Linked DNA regions of Arabidopsis thaliana. The protein of the gene in region 3 purifies or fractionates together with the protein of the main gene of each other region. This does not show direct contact. Each region holds a gene or a part of one and is shown on either strand. Other genes may lie near its edges.

Region 1 (5,219 bases), on a different chromosome or scaffold from region 3:
ATATGATATAAAAGGTGATTTGGGCTCATTTGAGAAGCGACACGAAGAAGAGTGAGAGCAAGAGCAAAACCACAACAAAAAATTGGGTGATTGTTGAGTTGATGATTTGAAATATATCGATTGTCTTATTTTAGATGCATAAATGAATATTTGTAGTATGATGCTAACGTCAAAGATTTTTGAAAAAACACTGATAACATATATATTCAAAGAAGCTAACAATTGAGCCGAAAGTTGCTTAATTGTTTTGAGATTTTACTATGCTTTTCCTTTTGATTTAGTGGTTTTTTTCTTAGTTTTGGATTAAGTTTAAGCTTTATTTCCTTTGATATTATTTAAAATAATAAAAAAACATTATATGTTATGTTATAATAATATCGTCCTTATCTCATATTTGTTTTTTGATAAAATGTATATTCAAAATTTAAAATAGTAAATACGTTATTTTTCGGATCATCTCGAGTCTAAGACCAAATCTTAGAACATGGATAAAAATCTCAAATTTTAGATATTTTGCTGATCGGGAGAGTTGCATAAAAAAAGCAATATATAAACTTAAAACCTTATGATTTATTACGTGTGACATTTTTGACCGAGGAATGGGATAAAGAAGTGGATGGAAGAGAAAGAATGGTGAGTCACCGTGAGTGATCCCTAACCTCTAGAGATGTGTGAATAGATGATAAGATGCAAGAAAAAACACAAGCCACTTACTTGTACTGGTCCGTGAGAGGACCACGACATCAACTTGACTATGATGATAAACATACATACTGTGAATGAAAGGACCACAATAATATGATAACAGACTTAACAATGCAAGCAAACTTTTTCAACTAAACATAAACAAGGATTAGCAGAATAGAAGGAACCAAAATCCAAAACACTTATTATTGCTTTTTTAATAGGAAGCTACCTAAAAATATATCTAAACATTTTGCTGAACTTAAAAGGCCATATTTGAGCTTGACTTATACTTTGGTGAACTTCACTCTTTTCCATCAGCCGCGCGGAGTGAGCCTAGCTGAACCGGTGCTTGAGTTCCAACCACCTTTGATGACCCGTAAAGCGACACATCGCTTCCCTTTGCTTTCTCTTTCTCGATCTGTTCCTTTATCCAGAAGTAGGTTATTCTAAGCCCCTCCTGTTTAACGATTATGGTCAAAACAATATCAGTAATAAAAGAATTAGATTATTATCTTGTCTTTGAGCTACTTAAGTAAATAATGTTGGTACCTTCAATCTCATATTAGGAGCCCAACCAAGCTTTTCTTTGATCAGATTGTTGTCTGAGTTACGACCACGAACACCTTCCGGGCCAGGAATGTGGTGAATTGGAAGCTTCTTTTCCTCAAAGCTGAGAACCATCTCAGCCATCTCATTCATGCTCACCATCTCATCGCTTCCGATGTTCACCGGCTCACGGAAATCTGATTTTGTCAACCTATAAAACAAAAATGACGAAAATATCAGCCAATTACGTCTAACATACAACTTCATCAACATCAGGAGATACCCTCACCTGAGTACACCTTCAACACACTCATCGATAAAGGTAAAAGAACGGGTCTGAAGCCCATCTCCCCACATCTCAAACCTATCAGTGGAAGTCTGAGCCTTCCTACAGAAAGCAGCTGGAGCCTTCTCCCTTCCACCTAAGTTGATCCAAGCAAATATTAATCCCAATAGTAAACAACTAATCATTCACACAAAGTACGGAAACTGTTTATCTGTATACTACCTTTCCATGTTCCAAAAGGACCATAAATGTTATGGAACCTTCCAATTCGACACTCAATACCAAAATCTTTGTTGTAATGCTTACACAACTCCTCCGTAGCAAGCTTCTCCAAACCATAAGCATCTTGAGGCTATATCAGCATCAAAACATCACATAAGAAAAGACTCATAAATCTTTAGCAAGAACATATAAAAAATAATCACAAACCTCTGCAGGCCAAGCATCTGACTCCTTCAAGCTCACATTAGTAGTCTCCAACTGCTTAAACTCTGGATAGATACAAGCACTCGAAGCATAAAAGAACCTAAAGCAAACAAAAAATCCAATCTTTTTAACTTGTTTTAAGAAACCGTAAACTGCGAAAACCGAAGAAAACAAAATCTAACTAACCTCTTAATCCCATTGATCCTAGCAGCCTCAATCATATTGAAACTAATCATAGTATTATTATACATAATCACAGAGTGATTACTCTGGATAAAACCCATACCACCCATATCAGCAGCTAAGTTAAAAACATGATCAACTCCTTCAGTAACTTTGAGACAATTCTCCATAACCCTAAGATCAACAAGATGGAACTCATCACAGAACATGTCTTCAGTCATGTGTTCATTCTTTTTCCAGTCAGAAGCAATCACGTAATGACCTTCGTGCTTCAAACGACGAGCAATGTGAGATGCAATGAAACCTCCAGCTCCTGTTATTGATATCTTGAGATTCTCAGATGGCCAATATTGCTCTCTTTCTAGCTCCTTGTATGTGTATGCTCCATAGTCTGTTCCATTGGTAGTTCCCATTCTACATTAACAAAACAAATCTGTTAAAAACAATAAGATCTCTCATGCAAAAGCTAGACATCACTGTAGAGTCCTAATTTGTGATAAATTTCTATAAAAAAGATTTGGGATTTAGAGAGTTTTGACAGAGGTAAGATTATTGATGCATTGGATTCCGGCGTAAGTTAGCGAAAAACACAAAACTGCGAGGCGTAAGTTAGCCAAAAACACACAAAATTGCAAAACAAATCTGTTAAACACAATAAGATCTCTCATGCAAAAGCTAGAAATCACTGTAGAATCCTAATTTGTGATTAATTTCTGTAAAAAGATTTGGGATTTAGAGAGTTTTGACAGAGAATGCATTGGATTCGGTGTAAGTTAGTGAAAACACACAAAATTGCGACGCTTAAGTTAGCCAAAAACACACAAAATTGCAAAGAAATATGTTAAACACAATAAGATCTCTCATGCGAAAGCTAGAAATCACTGTGGAATCCTAATTTGTGATAAATTTCTGTAAAAAGATTTGGGATTTAGAGAGTTTTGACAGAGGATGCATTGGATTCGGCGTAAGTTAGCGAAAAACACAAAATTGCGAGGCGTAAATTAGCCAAAAACACAGAATTGCGAAATTCGGATCTCAGAGAAGTTTTGATTCAGGAATCTGGGATTTTAAAACCCTAGATTAGTGGAATTGTAAGGAAGATTGGATCTTTTACCTGAGGAAGGTTTTGGAGAGTTGGAGAGATCGAAGAGATAATGCAGAGAAGAGTCAGAGATTTGAGGAAGAGGAAGAGTAAACTTGTATTTATAGAGAGAGAACAGAAGAAGATGAAGAGGAAGATGGAGAGAGCAACACCACTCGTTGTTTTAGTTTTCCAACTCCTATTGGTATTTGTGCCTCTTTCTGTTAAATTTATTTTATAACTAATAAAATCCTTCGAAAAAAAAAATTAATACTTCTTTTGTAGAGAGTTTTTTAGAAAATAGGAGATTTTATAGAAGATTTATTACTTTTTATTAGGTTTGATGATTTATATTATGCATATTATTTTTACTATTTGTTGAATCGTATTTAGATAGATAATAAGAAATGTTTTAGTTTAGAAAAAAAAAAAAACTAAATATTTTCTTTATTGGTGCACCAAACAATTTCATAATTTTTTTATTTTCTAGCTTCAATATATAAAAATATTTGTAAATAATAAATATATGTATATTCTATATATTAATTGAGAAGTTTTTTTAATAAAATATTTATATTGGCGTGTTATTAACGAAACCGTCATGTTGTGATTCTAATCCATTTAAATAATTGTCCAAATTTTACTAGATTATTACAGATTTTTCAATTAGTCTTATTCATACATATATATAATACACATTAAAAGGAAATTCTTATAAAATTCAAATAATTAAGCAATTAATCTTTAAATAATTATTATTTTGAGAAAAATTACTTTAATTTTTGTTATTTTCTAATTAACTAAAACACTATTTAACATATTTTGTATTTGCAAATAATAGTACATCTTCATATATTAAGAAATGTGTTGTAATAAATTTTTATTAAATATATAATTATTTTGTTATTTTAGTGATATATACTGTATTGAATAATTATAATGTACACATAAAAATATAAAATATTATTTATGTTTGTTTATGACATAAGAGCAACCATAAGTCCATTTTTGGAGTTTGAAACTGAAGAGTAAATTAGAAAAAAAAATCTTAAATTAAAATATAATATAAGTTAGATTGATGTTAAAAATTATTTATATAGTTATAGTATATATATAACCTAAACTATATTAGTTGGTTGAAATATTTGAAATAATAATGATTTTAGTAGTATTTTAAAGTTCATAACAATCAAACGGTCGAACCGAGATCAAACTGATTCGAGTTAATGGTCAGGTAGATTTTTATTAAACTTGTAAACTATCAAACCGTATATAAAACCATTAAAATGATTAAATACGTTTGCGAGAAATATAAATATTTAGAGATAGGCGTAATTCTCATTCAATTTTATCATGTTCCATTATATCTTACTCGTTCTCCAATTTATTTCTCATAAGAGAATGCATTTCTAATATGAGAAAAAATTTGTATTCCGATTAGAAACAGAACGTGATGGAAGCAAAAATTCTCTATATCCTGTTTGGGACAAACACAAATATAATTCATGTATATTTTTATATGATATGATATAATAAAAATATTACAAAATTAATTGACTTCTTTCTTCTTATTGTTTAATATTTTGTTCATAAATATTAAATTACATTTGTTTATTTTTAAATTTTAACTATTATAAAGCATACTATAATAACATTTATTATTTTGAGCATTTTTATGCTGTATAAATTGAAAACACATGTTACATATTTGATTGCAAACGTTAATTTGCTTAAATTGTAACTTGTTGTAATCTAAAAGCTATGTTTTTATCCCGTGTTGGCTCCTTCTATGTCGTTCCTTTTTCGTCATTCCTATTCTCGTTATATTACATTAAATATCATGTTCCGAGTTCATTTTTACTTATCTTTAAACACAATACCAGATACAGCTGTAACTTTTGGGGATTAACATATGCTTTGTTAAAATTTGTAAACATACCATAAATTAAAACATGAAAACAAATTGAAAAAATAAATGATCTATCAACTATAATATGTCATACTCATACA
Region 2 (4,991 bases), 2.9 Mb from region 3:
ACAACCTCTTTCCCTCATCTCCCGAAATACCCTGATACCGAATTCAACACCTTGCGACGCTCCAATGGCTCGAATCACAGTGTTATAAGCAACCACATCGAGTTTCATCCTTCTACTCTTCATTTCCTTATACAACTTCACAGCTTTCCACGGTTTCCCGCTCTTGCACATGATATCCATGTAAATGGAATACGAAAAAAGATCCTTAGTAACACCTTCAGTATCCATCTTCTTCCAATACTCCTTGCATTTACCCCACCATCCCAATTTCGACCACCCACGAAGAATCAGATTATGAATCTTAGTATTACTCACACTAAAACCATTACCAATGACATTCTTCCCAAAACAAAGCTCTTCAGCTTCAACCACATGTTTATGCTCGCAAAGCGCATCGACCAGATTATAAAATGATGTTTCATCTCTCAAATTGAAATCATCCAATTTATCATACGCATCAATAGCCTCCTGAACAAGATGAGCCGTCACATAACGCTTAAAGACTATACGAAACGTGACGTGATTCGGCACAGATTCCGTGTTTCCGATCATGCGGTTAATCAAAGCCCAAGAAATTTCAAACTCGAAATACTTACCCAGAATATCGATCACCCGATTGAATGTCTCGGTGGTATGTCTGAATCCGGATTCTCTCTCGACCCAGTTGAAAAACTCCAACGCCTTTTGCCAATCGTTGCTGTAACATGTGAGAGCTTCGCATACTGTTTTCTGATCGTAACTGGACTGATCTTCTTCTTCCTGAGATCGAAACTTCGCATCATCGACATTTGAAATAGGTTTTACTGACAGAAGCCGAACGGAGTAAGGGGAAGCAATCCGAACTCGATTGAGTCGCCGCAACAAGAGCATTCTCTTGTTTCCCCTCTCCGCTCCCTGTACACACGAAATTAGGGTTCATCATCTAACGGGCGAATTTTGACCCGAATACCCATTTTAAAATCTGACCCGAATACCATTTATGGGCCCAAAGCCCGCTGGACTTGTGTTAATATTTGGAACATTTGGGCCGATCTATCTTCTACGAATCTTTCTTAGGCCCATCATAATTGAGCCATCCAGAGGTGAAAATAAATAATCGAACGGTTAATATTGGTTTGATTATAAACACAAAAGTTCTTTCCAGGTCTCCTTGTAGTCTTTGTTGTAGTAAATGGCGGGAGTCATCCACGTCAGCAGTACCCAGATTCCGGTTGCGTTTATGTCCGCAACCAAACAGAGCTTTAGGAGAGCTTCTGTGATCAGATGTGCCGCCAACACTCCAAAGAAACGGTACACCATCGCGGTTCTTCCCGGCGATGGCGTCGGTAACGAAGTGATCCCAGTCGCTGTTGACGTTCTTTGTTTAGCTGGGTCTCTTGAAGGTTCCTTCTTTCTCATCCTGTTGCCTAATTTAATTTGATTTTCCCAACTGAAATCGTGTTTTTGGATATCAGGGATAGATTTTAGCTTCGAGGAGTTGCCTATAGGAGGTGTTGCTTTAGATCTTGTCGGAGTTCCACTGCCTAAGGAAACATTGATCAGGGCAAAGCAATCAGACGCTCTTCTTCTCGGAGCTGTTGGATGGTATGGTATTATTACCATAACTTTCGTTCATCTCAAGTTTGGATTCATCTAAAGTTTGGATTTTTGAATTGAAGGCCGAAATGGGATAACAATCCCAAGCATTTGAAGCCGATAACGGCCTTGTTGCAGCTTCGTGCGGCTCTTCAAGTATTTGATGAGCCCTCCTTCTTCTGTGAGGTGCTGCTAATAAATGGATATATATATATATATATATATATATATATATATGTTGTATGTGGTAATGTAAGGTGTCCATTTACAAAATTAAAAACTTTGGGGTCAATTCTGAAAATAAAACAATGTGCAAAAAAGGACCCATAAATGCAAAGAAGTAAAGTCTGAGTGTACTAGTAGTATCCATTTGACTTGCGGTTTCAAAATCCGAAAAAGACCAATCAATCCTTTCTCCCTGAAATGGCGGCGGCTCTGCAGACGAATATCCGGACGGTCAAGGTTCCGGCTACGTTCAGAGCTGTAAGTAAACAGTCATTGGCACCCTTTAGAGTAAGATGTGCTGTTGCTTCCCCTGGTAAAAAACGATACACCATCACTCTCCTTCCCGGAGACGGCATCGGTCCGGAGGTTGTCTCCATTGCCAAAAATGTGCTTCAGCAAGCTGGATCTTTGGAAGGTTCTCTCTCTCTCTCTTGTTCCCTTTCTTATTTAATTTAGTTGCTGTTTCATTTCAATTGGGGACTACTGTTTTCTGCTTGGAATTGAAAGATGTGAGCATTAGAAATTGGCGAGATTTTGAATGGGATTTACAATCGTGGGTTGGGCTCAAAGGCCACGGAGATTGCCTAATACATTGCGTCTGTGCTCTGTATCAGGAGTGGAATTTAACTTCCGTGAGATGCCCATTGGAGGAGCTGCTTTGGATTTGGTCGGAGTGCCCTTGCCGGAGGAGACTATCTCAGCTGCAAAAGAATCAGATGCAGTGCTTCTTGGAGCCATTGGAGGGTCTGTCTTCTCTCTTTTCCCACTAATCTTGTTGGCTCTTAATTATTGTTTTGGGAAATACAGTTTCTCATTTAGTCATTTTCTCATGTTGGTATAATAATAACTTAAGGTACAAATGGGATAACAATGAAAAACATCTGAGGCCTGAGAAGGGGTTACTTCAGATTCGTGCAGCTCTCAAAGTCTTTGCAAATCTGAGACCTGCTACAGTCCTCCCACAGGTGACCATCCTCAGAGATTTCTTGGTTGCCTGAACTTTGTTTCTTGTGTGAAACTCTAATTTTGTTGTTTTTATACAGTTAGTGGATGCTTCCACCTTAAAGAGAGAGGTAGCAGAAGGTGTTGATCTAATGGTTGTAAGGGAGCTTACAGGAGGTCAGTTTTATTACTTATTAAAAATTGATCGTAATTCTTGTCTTTCTCGTGTGACAATATCTTATAAAATGTCATGTCTCATGGTAACAGGTATTTACTTTGGAGAGCCAAGGGGCATAAAGACCAATGAAAATGGCGAGGAAGTTGGGTTTAATACTGAGGTTTATGCTGCTCACGAGGTACTCTATTGAAAATCTCAGATGCAGATTTCCGTGGACTGATTGTTAAGTACTAGGGTCAAATCTAATAAAGCATTTTGTATGTTCGTCAGATTGATAGAATTGCTCGTGTTGCCTTCGAGACTGCTCGGAAACGGCGTGGCAAGCTGTGTTCTGTTGACAAAGCTAATGTTTTGGAAGTGCGGTTGATAATTATGTTTTCTTTGACTTGTTTTCCTCTCTCTTGTTTCCTGTGGAACGAACATAACACTGAATTTTTTTATATGCAGGCCTCAATCTTATGGAGGAAACGAGTAACAGCATTAGCCTCTGAATATCCTGATGTTGAGCTGTCACATATGTATGTTGACAATGCCGCGATGCAGCTTGTTCGTGACCCAAAACAGGTACGTGTACTTTGTATTTGCCAAACTAGTCAGCTTTGATGTGCGACAGGTGTAAATCCTTGCAATTATTTGATTGTTTGATAAATGCAGTTTGACACCATCGTCACAAACAACATTTTTGGTGATATATTATCCGATGAAGCTTCAATGATCACAGGAAGCATAGGAATGCTGCCATCTGCTAGTCTCAGTGATTCGGTATGATATAAAATAATATGATCTTTTAGTATGCAAGCAGTATGATCTAGTCTGAACATAAACCCGCCATGTGTAATACAGGGACCTGGACTCTTTGAACCTATACATGGTTCTGCACCTGATATTGCTGGACAGGTTCTAACTCTATCCTTCAAACAAACACGGTTTTTGTTCCCTGATATCAAAACTAGTTTAATGCCAAAATCAAAGAGCACAACTTGTTGATTCTTTGAATTTTCAGGATAAGGCAAACCCATTGGCAACCATTCTAAGCGCTGCAATGCTTCTGAAATACGGACTTGGAGAAGAAAAGGCAGCCAAGAGAATTGAAGACGCAGTGTTGGTTGCTCTGAACAACGGATTCAGAACTGGAGACATATACTCCGCGGGAACAGTATGTTTCTTGAACCACTCTTATAACATGTTTCCTTTTCCTTAAAAACGTCCCGAGTTAGTGTTTGAGAAACGTTTAAACAAGCAGGCAACAACAAACAGTAGTAATATTTTTTTGTCTTTTTGTATGGGGTATGATCAGAAACTGGTGGGCTGCAAGGAGATGGGAGAGGAGGTTCTGAAGTCAGTGGACTCCCAAGTTCCAGCTTCTGTTTAATATTTGTAGAAACTTTGAAGAGTTCATTTCCAACAACAAATGTTGTACCTTGTACTCAAAGAGTCTCGGTTTTATTAGCGATTTTTATAATGTGAGATTATTAGAGGGACTTATTTGATCGAACTGAAACGTTGATGTTTTTTTCTGAGAAATAAATATCCTTGTGGAGATAATGACGTGTCAGAGTATCACTCAAAAAGCCAAAAATTAGAGAGACAAAAAAGATTCAATCTCCCCCGTAGTCCTTATCCGGCGCCGAGTGTGGTCAAACGTCGCAAGAGTTTTCGCTCTTTCCGGTGAGATCTTTTTCCTCTGATTTCTGTTTCATGGCAAGCCTACTTTTAGAGCTGAGTTTAATCGATGAATCAAGGATGTGAATTTTTGTTATTTCTTGATTATTCATTATTATGTTCAAGAAATCTAAATCTCTGCTTGGGAACTAATTCACAATTTAGACATCTCTGATGAGTTTTTCCTCTGTTTTTTATTTCTATCTTATCAATTTTGTTTCTGGAAATTTTCATGGCTTTTTGAATGTTCATTGGGATTGCGTATCTTGGTGGTGGTAAGTAAAAAGTCAAACGCCTTCGTTTTTCTGCATAATCTCTGAGTTCCATCAAAGCTCTGTTTTGTGTTTTCAAGGTGGACTTTTCACTTGACATGTTAGGCTTTGATCCTTTTTTGTTCACACAGATAGAC
Region 3 (5,094 bases):
AACTGGGAGCACTCTTAGAAGACGAAGAAGATCGACGGCAGAGATAGAAAAAAGCTAAAAGGTCGTCATCGAAAACAACGGCTAAGATCTTGTTCTCGGATCAGACCCAACAGAGGAGAGAGAAAATGGATCCGCTTTTGTGATTTGGATAAGATGACGTGGCGTCCATATCCTTGGGTCGTTGGGCAGAGAAGAGAGCAGAAGGCAGTGTGAGAGGCACGTGATCTGTCACGTGATTTTTGATTCTTTTTCACTGTTACACTTCCACTATCGTTCGAGCTATATTTTTTTTTATGAAAAAAGAATCTAAAGATTTATCAGAGTTCCTCCTAGAGATGCTAAATTTATAGGAACAGTGGTGGTCCTTGGACAATAGTATGATACTACCAAACACCAACAGAAATCATTTTTCTGTCGTTGTATCATTTACTGACATAACTTGATTACAAAAATATAGTATTAATTAGCTTTGGGAGTTTCACATATTTTAGTATCAAATCAAATATACAACAGAAATCAATACTATAGTATTTGGAAATGCCCACTACCTAAACATATACTACATTTCTTTTTCGGTCCACGCTTACTTATTACATCGTTAATCCTTATCTTCAACAGATTAGATGTTAAAGTGAGTAGACAAGCTTAGACTGATTCCAACCATGTGATTTGATTCCAAAAAGAACATTATAGCTGTGATGGGCTTGAGTGACGAACAACACTGTTGGTTCTGTATCAACTGGTGATGACCATTATTTCAGCCCACAACTTGGAGATAAAAGAACCAAATCATAAGCAGTTTCCACAGACTAAAGCACCAACAAAAACTATGGAAAGCTTTTATCGAGCAAAAGATCACGAGTCACAAACATAACAAAAAAGTACACGAATCATGAAATCAAATTTCTCAAGTTCCCTATCAAAACGCTTTAAAATACAGAAAAGGGATCCCTTCTCATTTATTGTGTCGTTCTCTCCCAAACCCCAAAACACTATTACCCAAATTTAGAGAGAACACACAACGGTTAGTTGAGGTATTCAGAGTTTGAATCAATTCTAATTCAAGTCTTTTATTTGAAGTATAAGCTTATTGGGCTGGTTTTTCACAATGACTGTATATTTGACCCAATCCGCCCAATGTGACGAAAAGGAGGACCCATAACTAGTGGTGTCCTTTACTTTCTTTTTCTTTTCCAAAAACGTTAAGATCATAAACTCCATACCTATATACATTAATATGAACTATGAAGTGTCGTCTACTTTGTATGAATGTTGCTCTCATAGTCTCATCTCATTATTTATTTTTGTCCTTTAAAATGACAAAAAGATAGTGACATTTATTATTTATTTTTTGTTTCCGTCGCTTGTAATATATTTATTTGATTAATAAAATGGGACGAAATCACAAATATATATTAGAAGAACAAAGAACAATAGATACAAATAATAGTAACATTATATTTTACTCATAAGAATATACTTCATGTGTGGCACATGTCTCATGTAGTCCATACATTCGTGTTTTTTTTTGTTGTTGCATATTTGATATCTTAAACACTAAAATTTACACATGATTCATGAATGTCAAAGATTCATTTCTCCCTAGTGCTTCTTTCTCTACCATCAAAAGAAAATTCATGACTAATAATCCATACAAATAATAGTAACATTTTACTCATAAGAATATACTTCATGTGTGGCACATGTCTCATGTACTCCATACATACGTGTTTTTTTTTTTTTTTTGCATATTTGATATCTTAAACACTAAATTCACACTAGATTCATGAACGTCAAAGATTCATTTCTCCCTGGTGCTTTCTCTACCATCAAAAGAAAATTCATGACTAGAGAGATATATACATAATTTGGAAATTGGAATGACAAATGAAAAACAAACAATAAATGAATACTTTCGTCCCAATATTTATTAGGTTATAAATAAATTACTTGTGACTTGTGACTAAAGGTGTCAACAATCATTCTTCTATCCAATCAATATCATCAAACTCTTCACTTTACTCTCTCTCTCACTCATAATGGCCTCATTCTCTCTTCCCCACTCCGCCACCTACTTTCCTTCCCACTCTGAAACCTCACTTAAACCTCACTCCGCCGCTTCCTTCACCGTCCGTTGCACCTCCGCCTCTCCCGCCGTTCCTCCACAGACTCCACAGAAACCCCGTCGTTCACCCGATGAGAACATTCGAGACGAAGCTCGTCGCCGTCCTCATCAACTCCAAAACCTCTCCGCACGTTACGTCCCTTTCAACGCTCCACCTTCTTCAACAGAATCCTACTCCCTCGACGAGATCGTCTACCGTTCACAATCCGGTGCTCTCCTCGACGTCCAGCATGATTTCGCCGCCTTGAAACGCTACGACGGAGAATTCTGGCGTAACCTTTTCGATTCTCGCGTCGGTAAAACAAATTGGCCGTACGGATCAGGCGTGTGGTCGAAGAAAGAGTGGGTACTCCCCGAGATCGACGATGACGACATCGTCTCTGCTTTTGAAGGAAACTCAAATCTCTTCTGGGCTGAGAGATTTGGTAAACAGTATCTGCAAATGAACGATCTTTGGGTGAAACATTGTGGAATCAGCCACACTGGCTCCTTTAAAGATCTGGGCATGAGTGTTCTCGTTTCTCAGGTGAATCATCTTTCATAAAGTTTACAACTGTATAACCATCTTCAATAAAGTTTACAACTTTATGTTATTTTTTTGTTTCTCAGGTGAATCGTCTCCGGAAAATGAACAAACCAGTCATCGGAGTTGGTTGCGCTTCTACTGGAGATACCTCCGCTGCTCTCTCTGCTTACTGTGCTTCCGCTGGAATCCCCTCGATTGTCTTCTTACCTGCGGATAAAATCTCCATGGCTCAGCTTGTGCAGCCGATTGCAAACGGAGCGTTTGTGCTTAGTATTGACACTGATTTTGACGGATGTATGCATTTGATCAGAGAAGTTACGGCGGAGCTTCCTATTTACTTGGCGAACTCTCTCAACAGCCTCCGTCTCGAAGGTCAAAAGACGGCGGCGATTGAGATTCTGCAGCAGTTTAATTGGCAAGTTCCTGATTGGGTCATTGTTCCTGGAGGCAATCTTGGTAACATCTATGCGTTTTACAAAGGGTTTCATATGTGTAAAGAGTTAGGTCTTGTTGATCGTATCCCTAGGCTTGTTTGTGCTCAAGCTGCTAATGCAAATCCACTTTACTTGCATTACAAATCTGGGTTTAAAGAAGATTTCAATCCATTGAAAGCAAACACTACATTTGCTTCTGCTATTCAGATTGGTGACCCTGTTTCGATTGATAGAGCTGTGTATGCGTTGAAGAAATCTAATGGGATTGTTGAGGAAGCTACAGAGGAAGAGTTGATGGATGCAACAGCTCTTGCTGATTCTACTGGTATGTTTATATGTCCACATACTGGTGTTGCATTGACGGCGTTGATGAAGCTGAGAAAGTCAGGAGTTATTGGAGCGAATGATCGGACTGTGGTGGTGAGTACAGCTCATGGATTGAAGTTTACACAAAGTAAGATTGATTATCATTCTAAGAACATAAAGGAGATGGCTTGTAGATTGGCGAATCCACCAGTGAAGGTTAAGGCAAAGTTTGGTTCAGTTATGGATGTTCTCAAGGAGTATTTGAAGAGCAATGATAAATAAGCTTTGTGTGTTTGTTTCTTCTAAAGCTCTTCACGTCCTATGATGATATTGTTGGCTTTGTTATTAGAGGAAGTAATGAAATTTCGTTTCTTTGGACTTGTGGAATAAAACGACTGGTTGGTTCCGTGATGCTCGCTAGTTGTTTCATATCAAACTACTACTGAGTTTTACATATGCTCTTAACAAAAGTACTCACGACCTGTCTTTTAACCTCTTCTTTTAAATCTTTTAAGAAACAATAAACTTATCTAGAAAATTAACTTCAAGAATTTTTTTCATCTTATTTAAAACCAAAAGAACTCAAAATTGAGTTAACATTAACATTGGGTCAAAAACTTAACTAGAACATAAGAAAAAACTCCCAAGTAATACAAATTTAAAACGTTCCTCTTCTTCTAGGTAGTCTTCTTACTTTAGGGAGTAAAACTAGGTGATCTAGTTCCACGAGCAGTCTCTTCCTTCATGCACTACCAAAGGTTCAAGCCTTCAACAGAAGGTACAACGGCCCTGATTACCACAACGGCCAGGAAAAGGCCAAGTACTTCCACTGCGAATCGGTTCAGCCTTACCAACTACAAGATCCCATCCTCCCACGTCATGTCTACCAAGTTCCAACGCCTTCTCTGCTCCTTCTTTCAGATCAATGTAAGCATATCCTAAGGAACCACCGGTTCCGTGGCTTGGGGGAACAAATACGCGTGTGATCTCCCCAAAAGAACTGAAATATTTACTCAATGCGCTCTTTATATCATCCACAGGAAGGGAAGCGTCAAATCCCGTAACAGAGAACGATCGACCATTGACACCAACAGAAAATAAAGAATCTTTAGCAGCTGGCTTGACACCAACAGAGAATAAAGAATCTGGCTTGAAACCAGCAGAGAATAAAGAATCTTTAGCAGCTGGCTCGAAACCAGCAGAGAATAAAGAACCTGGCTTGAAACCAGCAGAGAATAAAGAATCTTTAGCAGCTGGCTCGAAACCAGCAGAGAATAAAGAATCTGGCTTGAAACCAGCAGAGAATAAAGAATCTTTAGCAGCTGGCTTGAAACCAGCAGAGAATAAAGAATCTTTAGTAGCTGGCTTGGCGGCACTTGCAGCAGGTTTGTTTACAGGTTCCTCAGCAGAAGACGATTCATCCTCCGAAGAAGTGTCCATGTATGAGTCATCGCTCTCAGAAGAAGCCTTAGCAGAAGTCTTCATGGCAGGAACTTTCTCACCCTTGGCTGAGATGAGAAGCTCCTGTATATCCGCCTTTATTGCCAACAAATCCGCCTTTGTTACCAACAAATCCACCTTTGCTTCGAGACGCTGAAGACGATCAGCGAATTCTTTGATCATCTCCTTCTCATCAAGGTTTTTCAAGACGGATACTTTCGTGATCTCCGTCTGATCAGATTCTTCCTTCTCGGAAGGAGAAA
Region 4 (6,478 bases), on a different chromosome or scaffold from region 3:
ATTCTCCACCTTCCCTTCTGACATCTCCCATCACTTCTCTCTTAATTTATTCCATCCATTCCACCAAATTTTTAGTTTCACTTTTTTTACTGTAGTGTGTTTACACTTGTGAGTGAGTGAAAAAGTAAAGCTAGAGAGGTTACTGTTTTGAGATGCTCTTTTTAGAAAGGGCCATATATAAATGGTAGTGTAGTAGTACTAGTGGAGCTTCTTCATATACAATTTTGACTTCTCTTCATTGAATGTAGGAGAGAGGCTCTTTACATCATAAATAAAACAAGAACACAGCTTTCAGAGAGATAGAGTGAGATTCTCCTTCATTAACATATTCTTCTTCATGTTATAAGAAGAAGAAGAAGAAGTGTCCAAAAGGATTAGAGATGGGTGGATGCACAAGCAAGCAAGAGAGGAGAGGTGTGAGAAGTGTGAAGGAGACATCAAAAGACCAAAGCAGAGGAAGAAGACACCTGATAAAAGAGAGAGATGAGAGAGAGAAAGTGATGTTTCTTCAGCTTAAAGAGGCGGAGAGAGAGTGGAGAAAAGAGAGGAAGAAGCTGAGAGAGGAAGTGAGAAGACTAAGGAAGAAGCTAGAGGAAAGAGAAGAAGCAAAGACAACAACAACAGAGGAAAGAGAGTATTGGAAGTGGGTGGTTGAGGAGATGTGTGTAGAGAGAGCAGTGAGAGATGAAGCCGTTGAGAAATGGAAACAACTCTATTTAGCTATCAAGAATGAGCTTGATCATCTCATCTCCCACACTACTTCTTCCTCCGGTAAAATAAACTCAACTTATTTCAACTTAAAATTAGAAAAAGTAAATAGGATCTTTAAAGTGTGTGTTTGTAGGAGAAGCAATCATGCAAAGGAAACTTGAGGAACAAGAAGAAGAAGAAACAGAAGCAAAGAGAGTTGAAGTATTGAGAGATGAAGTTAGAGTTAAAGAAGAGACAGTTGAGACACTTGAAGAGCAAATAGTTTTGATGGATAGACAAAAGTATGAGAAAGAAAGAGAGATTGACTTATTGAGACAGAGTCTAAGGATTCTTGGAAGCAAGAAGAAAAAGAAGACAGGATCATTCGCATCAATGAATCTGTTGATATTGAAGACCAAATGTGTCGAATGTACATAAACACTTTTTACTCAAATAGTCTTCTGCAAACAGTCATATCTCGTCAGAGAATCTTGATCCACAATGTCATATTTATTTCTCTTTTGGTTATTTTACAATTTTTATTTTGGAAATATAGTAAATCATAGCACTATGAGTTCAAAAAGCACATGTCCCATGAAAGATTTGCACAAATCGTTTTTTTTTTTTTTTGTTGGAGTTAGATACAATTCTTTAGCAATAATGATAATGAACCATTTTTCCAAAGAACAGAAACTGTGGAAAAAAACTTACTAGACACTAAAAGTCTAAAACACCACTTGCTTTTTTATAGCCCAAGAAACTTCTAGTTCTAATTAAGAATGTCCAACTTCCGGTTCGGTTACTGAAAATTATCAAATTTTTGTTAGATGAGATAAAGAAGTGAATCCTACAAGAAATATATCATGTGGTTCGGTTTGGTACAATTTTGATTTCTGCTAGGGTTTTATCCTTTTTAGCAAAATTTACTTTAATTTCCGTAGTAAAAAAGAAGAAGTTTTAGTTGGTTTATTTCTTATTTTTGCTTCGATTACGGCATTTAATTTTAGCAATATTTCATTAACAAAAAAAAACAATTCTAATTGGTTTATTTCTACTTCTTTTTCTGTCTTGGTTTGATCTCTATTACTATATTGATTATGAAAAAAATATGAAACCAAAACCATTTATTATGTCTTCAATTCCATTTTTAACCCAATTATTTCACTACAATTGTAATAACCGGTTATTGCACCCCTAATTATAACTATTTAAGCAATCGCATATACCAAACCAGCGAGTTAAACCAAATTGTTTCCCAAATTATGCTAAACGACAGCGTTTTCACAAATTACCAAAAAAACCTATTTTTCTGTATCTATCTGAATTCAGAGTCCTGACCATTTTATCTCACTCTCACAAAGTCTTCACTTTTGAAGTGTCTCCTCCACACGCACTGCGCCGCCAAAAAACCCTTCTTTAAACCCTTTCCTCCTCGCGCCGTCATGCAAGCCACCATCTTCTCTCCACGCGCCACTCTCTTCCCCTGTAAACCTCTCCTCCCTTCCCACAATGTCAACTCTCGCCGTCCCTCAATCATCTCCTGCTCCGCCCAATCCGTAACCGCTGATCCTTCACCACCTATCACTGACACCAATAAGCTCAACAAATACAGCTCAAGAATCACTGAACCCAAATCCCAAGGTGGGTCTCAAGCAATTCTTCACGGTGTTGGTTTATCAGACGACGATTTGCTAAAACCCCAGATTGGTATCTCGTCGGTTTGGTATGAAGGGAACACTTGTAACATGCATTTGCTGAAATTGTCTGAGGCTGTGAAAGAAGGAGTTGAAAATGCAGGAATGGTTGGGTTTAGGTTTAATACTATTGGTGTGAGTGATGCTATTTCGATGGGAACGAGAGGGATGTGTTTTAGTTTGCAATCTAGGGATTTGATTGCTGATAGTATTGAGACTGTTATGAGTGCTCAGTGGTATGATGGTAACATATCTATTCCCGGTTGTGATAAAAATGTGAGTTTTTTTTTTTTAATCATCGATCTTTGTGTTGTCTTTATCTCCATGTTTTATGTGATTTGTTTGCTATAATGTTATTGTTGTAATACTTTTAGATGCCTGGAACTATTATGGCTATGGGAAGGCTTAACAGACCAGGGATTATGGTTTATGGTGGAACCATTAAGGTACTTACTTTTATCAAATTGATGAGAAGATAGTTTCTTAAACCCTAAACCCTTGTGCCTAGTTGGATAGCCTATTCACCTTGCTTTGATATTATTGCAGCCTGGCCATTTTCAAGACAAGACATATGACATTGTATCTGCTTTCCAGGTATCTTTTCTTCTATCTGCTACGAGCTTGGTTATAACAATTTTAATGTGTATTTATGAGACTTCATTGAGTTTTCCAATTTTGGGATTGAGTTACAGAAATCTTGGTGACTTTGGTGTCAAATTGTACCAGTACTTGTGGGATTCATCATGTTTTCCAATTTTGTATTTCAGAGTTATGGAGAATTTGTTAGTGGCTCCATAAGTGATGAACAGAGAAAGACTGTCCTCCATCATTCATGTCCTGGAGCTGGAGCCTGTGGTGGCATGTACACAGCGAATACAATGGCTTCTGCTATCGAAGCAATGGGAATGTCCCTTCCTTACAGGTGAGGCTTTCAGTCCTGAAGACCACATTTATAAATCAACTTCAAACGTTTTCCCAGATTTGTGCTTAATAGAAAGTTATTTCCACAAGAACATTGTAGATCCTAAACTGTAATTGTGGAATGCTTATTTCAAAAGTTCATATATTTGCTTCTTCTTTTTTTTTTGAAGTTCTTCAATACCTGCTGAAGACCCATTGAAGTTGGACGAGTGTCGCTTAGCAGGAAAATATCTTCTAGAATTGCTAAAGATGGACTTAAAACCCCGTGACATTATCACTCCAAAATCACTTCGTAATGCAATGGTTTCCGTCATGGCCCTTGGGGGATCGACAAATGCAGTATTGCATCTAATTGCTATTGCAAGGTGACAGATTGTTATGATGTTTCTTATTATTACCATGGAAAGCAATGGACCGAAGTAATGAATGGAAATGATTTCAGGTCTGTTGGTTTGGAGTTGACTCTTGACGATTTTCAGAAAGTTAGCGATGCGGTTCCATTTCTAGCAGATCTTAAACCCAGTGGGAAGTATGTTATGGAGGATATACATAAGGTAAGGCTTTGGCGAAATCGTTTTGCTTATTACTTATCTGTTTTTTTATTGGTCAGTTTGTAAGTTTTGTTGTTTAATCTACAGATAGGTGGTACGCCAGCTGTTCTCCGCTATTTATTAGAGCTAGGATTGATGGATGGTGATTGTATGACAGGTAGAAATGCTCAAACATTTTATAAACTGACTTAGCAATTTGGATTGATGTGAAATGGCATAACTACGCTTTTGTATCTCTACCAGTGACAGGGCAGACTTTGGCTCAAAATTTAGAAAACGTCCCAAGCTTAACAGAAGGGCAGGTATTTGTAATGTTATTAGTTATCTCATTAGATTCTACCGCCTGTTTCTTCTTGATTATGATGGTTGTTAGTTATACAGGATTCTAATTAATTCTGATAATGTTCCAGGAGATAATTAGACCTCTGTCAAATCCAATCAAGGAGACTGGACACATACAAATTTTGAGAGGAGACCTTGCACCAGATGGTTCTGTAGCAAAAATTACCGGCAAAGAGGGCTTATATTTCTCTGGTAATGTTGGTTCACTCTAGTACCTCCTTTACACTCCATATTTAGCTAATGCTTCTGAATATTAGGGCTTATATGATGGAACTATTTATTTTAGGTCCTGCACTTGTATTTGAAGGAGAGGAATCTATGTTGGCTGCTATATCAGCAGACCCAATGAGTTTTAAGGTAATTTCCTTTCTGATATGAAGTTCATCTCAGGAGCTGGTTATATATCTTTTATCTGATGAAATGTATCGTGTTTCAGGGAACTGTGGTTGTTATCAGAGGAGAGGGGCCTAAAGGAGGTCCAGGTATGCCTGAGATGTTGACACCGACAAGTGCAATAATGGGTGCCGGTCTTGGAAAGGTATGATATGACCAGTATGACTGGGTTAGTGAGACATTTATTAAGTCTGATCAATTTTTATGTTCTAAATTAAAGAACTCGTTATTTTTCCTTTGATATGGTCTGACTATATTATGCTTATGGTAGTGACCTAAATCTTTTTATCTACTTTGTCCATATCCGAGAACACACCTTATATAAAGTGCCAATATGTTGCTATTGGGTGATGCAGGAATGTGCATTACTGACTGATGGTAGGTTCTCTGGTGGGTCACACGGTTTTGTTGTTGGCCACATTTGCCCTGAAGCTCAGGTCTCTCTCTCTCCCTTTTTTTTTTCTCTCTGCCCACTGGCTCCATCAGAGCAAAATTCTAAATTTTGCACTTGCAAGATAAATTTGATAGATCCATGTCCCTCTTCTGGGATATTTTTCTTGTGTATTGAAAAATAAATGCTACTGGGTCATAGTCATATATAGTTTTAGCAAAAAGGAACAAGGGTCAAGGGATCCTGTAATAGTTTGTGGTGGCTCTTATGCAGTTATGATGATTTTGGAATATTTCAAATAATAAAACTGATATTAATGTGATTGGAGAATGTGAAGATAATAATGCTGAAAGCAATTCTCCGGTGTGCTTACTATTTATCTGTGCAGGAGGGTGGTCCGATCGGTCTGATCAAGAACGGAGACATAATCACCATTGACATAGGAAAGAAGAGAATAGACACACAAGTCTCACCCGAAGAAATGAATGACCGTAGAAAGAAATGGACTGCTCCTGCATACAAGGTTAACCGCGGAGTCCTATATAAGGTACTATACGAATCCACTTGTATCTATATAATGTATGTCTCTTTGACATCTGATGGATTAGTTTCTAATGAATGGTTTATGATATTCTAAAAACAGTACATCAAGAACGTGCAATCGGCTTCAGATGGATGTGTGACTGACGAGTAAAGTGAACGATCTAAGAGAGAGTTTTGTGAATGAGCAGCAGAATGTAGTGTACGTTCATGAGGGAATTTGTAAGTTTATTTATTGTAGCTTCTAGATCATGTTACTTTGTGACTGATCATTAGCTATTTGCAGGGTTCGTTTTTAAGATTTTGTTTCTCTTAAATGTCAAAATAAAAACTTGTGATTGTGGCCGAATTCCAAAGAATATAAAGACAGAATAAAGACGGATTTGCATAAATACTTGTCTATGAGATTGAACTTAAGAGCCAATGTGGCAAACCAGCTATGCGTGAATAAGCTTGACGTTCTCTACATGGTTTAGAAAGATGTGAAATCCACTAACCTTAAAGGCTTGGGTTCCTTGGATTTCAAGTCTTTTCATCGTCTTTCTCTCGTTTCTGTAGGAGACAACATAAGGGTCATAAGAATAGTAAAACTCGAGCATGGTAATTAATATTTGATTCGACCAATTTATATCAAGGTGCAAGTATTTGTCTCAAAGGCTCGAGCATGACATCTCACAGAATTGTAAAATCATTCACATTTGAAATTTGATATCAAACTTAAAACAGAATCAATATAAACTAATTAGAAGGCTGTGGACGAGGGAGACGGGACAACCAACGAGGGAGAACATACTGTGAAGCGAGGAGAAGGTTAGGACCACCTTGAAACGATGGGGAAAAGTATCTATGAACGGTCTCCATATACTCGTTGCACCAGTTAAAGCTCAAGGTGCAACCATCCATACACTTCCTCTCGTCTTCGGATTCCTTGTGAAGACTAAACACATGCGTCCTCA

The links.
Region 1: the proteins of AT1G72810 (region 3) and GME fractionate together in Arabidopsis thaliana (co-fractionation; one large-scale study listed by BioGRID). This does not show direct contact.
Region 2: the proteins of AT1G72810 (region 3) and IMD2 fractionate together in Arabidopsis thaliana (co-fractionation; one large-scale study listed by BioGRID). This does not show direct contact.
Region 4: the proteins of AT1G72810 (region 3) and AT3G23940 fractionate together in Arabidopsis thaliana (co-fractionation; one large-scale study listed by BioGRID). This does not show direct contact.

What each region holds. Positions count from the first base shown.
Region 1 is NC_003076.8:10,861,484-10,866,702, forward strand, and holds GME (GDP-D-mannose 3',5'-epimerase), read right to left. Parts: upstream 3,464-5,219; 5' UTR 3,243-3,463; intron 2,562-3,242; exon of another isoform or gene 2,543-2,561; 5' UTR 2,542-2,542; coding exon 2,132-2,541; intron 2,046-2,131; coding exon 1,949-2,045; intron 1,872-1,948; coding exon 1,742-1,871; intron 1,656-1,741; coding exon 1,523-1,655; intron 1,445-1,522; coding exon 1,237-1,444; intron 1,145-1,236; coding exon 989-1,144; 3' UTR 533-988; downstream 1-532. UniProt on the Arabidopsis thaliana protein: Catalyzes a reversible epimerization of GDP-D-mannose that precedes the committed step in the biosynthesis of vitamin C (L-ascorbate), resulting in the hydrolysis of the highly energetic glycosyl-pyrophosphoryl linkage.
Region 2 is NC_003070.9:30,285,835-30,290,825, forward strand, and holds IMD2 (isopropylmalate dehydrogenase 2), read left to right. Parts: upstream 1-1,928; 5' UTR 1,929-1,998; coding exon 1,999-2,215; intron 2,216-2,414; coding exon 2,415-2,544; intron 2,545-2,653; coding exon 2,654-2,765; intron 2,766-2,843; coding exon 2,844-2,919; intron 2,920-3,009; coding exon 3,010-3,098; intron 3,099-3,190; coding exon 3,191-3,277; intron 3,278-3,367; coding exon 3,368-3,484; intron 3,485-3,574; coding exon 3,575-3,682; intron 3,683-3,763; coding exon 3,764-3,817; intron 3,818-3,923; coding exon 3,924-4,076; intron 4,077-4,217; coding exon 4,218-4,292; 3' UTR 4,293-4,465; downstream 4,466-4,991. Other genes in the region: AT1G80550 (Pentatricopeptide repeat (PPR) superfamily protein), read right to left, coding at 1-870; AT1G80555 (Isocitrate/isopropylmalate dehydrogenase family protein), read left to right, coding at 1,172-1,382, 1,455-1,584, 1,659-1,905; AT1G80570 (RNI-like superfamily protein), read left to right, coding at 4,827-4,857, 4,986-4,991. UniProt on the Arabidopsis thaliana protein: Involved in leucine biosynthesis; catalyzes the oxidative decarboxylation step in leucine biosynthesis (primary metabolism). Catalyzes the oxidation of 3-carboxy-2-hydroxy-4-methylpentanoate (3-isopropylmalate, 3-IPM) to 3-carboxy-4-methyl-2-oxopentanoate.
Region 3 is NC_003070.9:27,397,339-27,402,432, reverse strand, and holds AT1G72810 (Pyridoxal-5'-phosphate-dependent enzyme family protein), read left to right. Parts: upstream 1-1,958; 5' UTR 1,959-2,039; coding exon 2,040-2,651; intron 2,652-2,734; coding exon 2,735-3,673; 3' UTR 3,674-4,159; downstream 4,160-5,094. Other genes in the region: AT1G72800 (RNA-binding (RRM/RBD/RNP motifs) family protein), read right to left, coding at 4,160-5,094. UniProt on the Arabidopsis thaliana protein: Catalyzes the gamma-elimination of phosphate from L-phosphohomoserine and the beta-addition of water to produce L-threonine.
Region 4 is NC_003074.8:8,646,648-8,653,125, forward strand, and holds AT3G23940 (dehydratase family), read left to right. Parts: upstream 1-2,021; 5' UTR 2,022-2,132; coding exon 2,133-2,660; intron 2,661-2,758; coding exon 2,759-2,830; intron 2,831-2,930; coding exon 2,931-2,978; intron 2,979-3,151; coding exon 3,152-3,306; intron 3,307-3,475; coding exon 3,476-3,670; intron 3,671-3,747; coding exon 3,748-3,859; intron 3,860-3,943; coding exon 3,944-4,013; intron 4,014-4,099; coding exon 4,100-4,158; intron 4,159-4,266; coding exon 4,267-4,390; intron 4,391-4,484; coding exon 4,485-4,555; intron 4,556-4,634; coding exon 4,635-4,736; intron 4,737-4,947; coding exon 4,948-5,028; intron 5,029-5,370; coding exon 5,371-5,529; intron 5,530-5,625; coding exon 5,626-5,676; 3' UTR 5,677-5,958; downstream 5,959-6,478. Other genes in the region: AT3G23930 (troponin T, skeletal protein), read left to right, coding at 381-771, 845-1,128; AT3G23950 (F-box family protein), read right to left, coding at 6,261-6,478. UniProt on the Arabidopsis thaliana protein: Functions in the biosynthesis of branched-chain amino acids.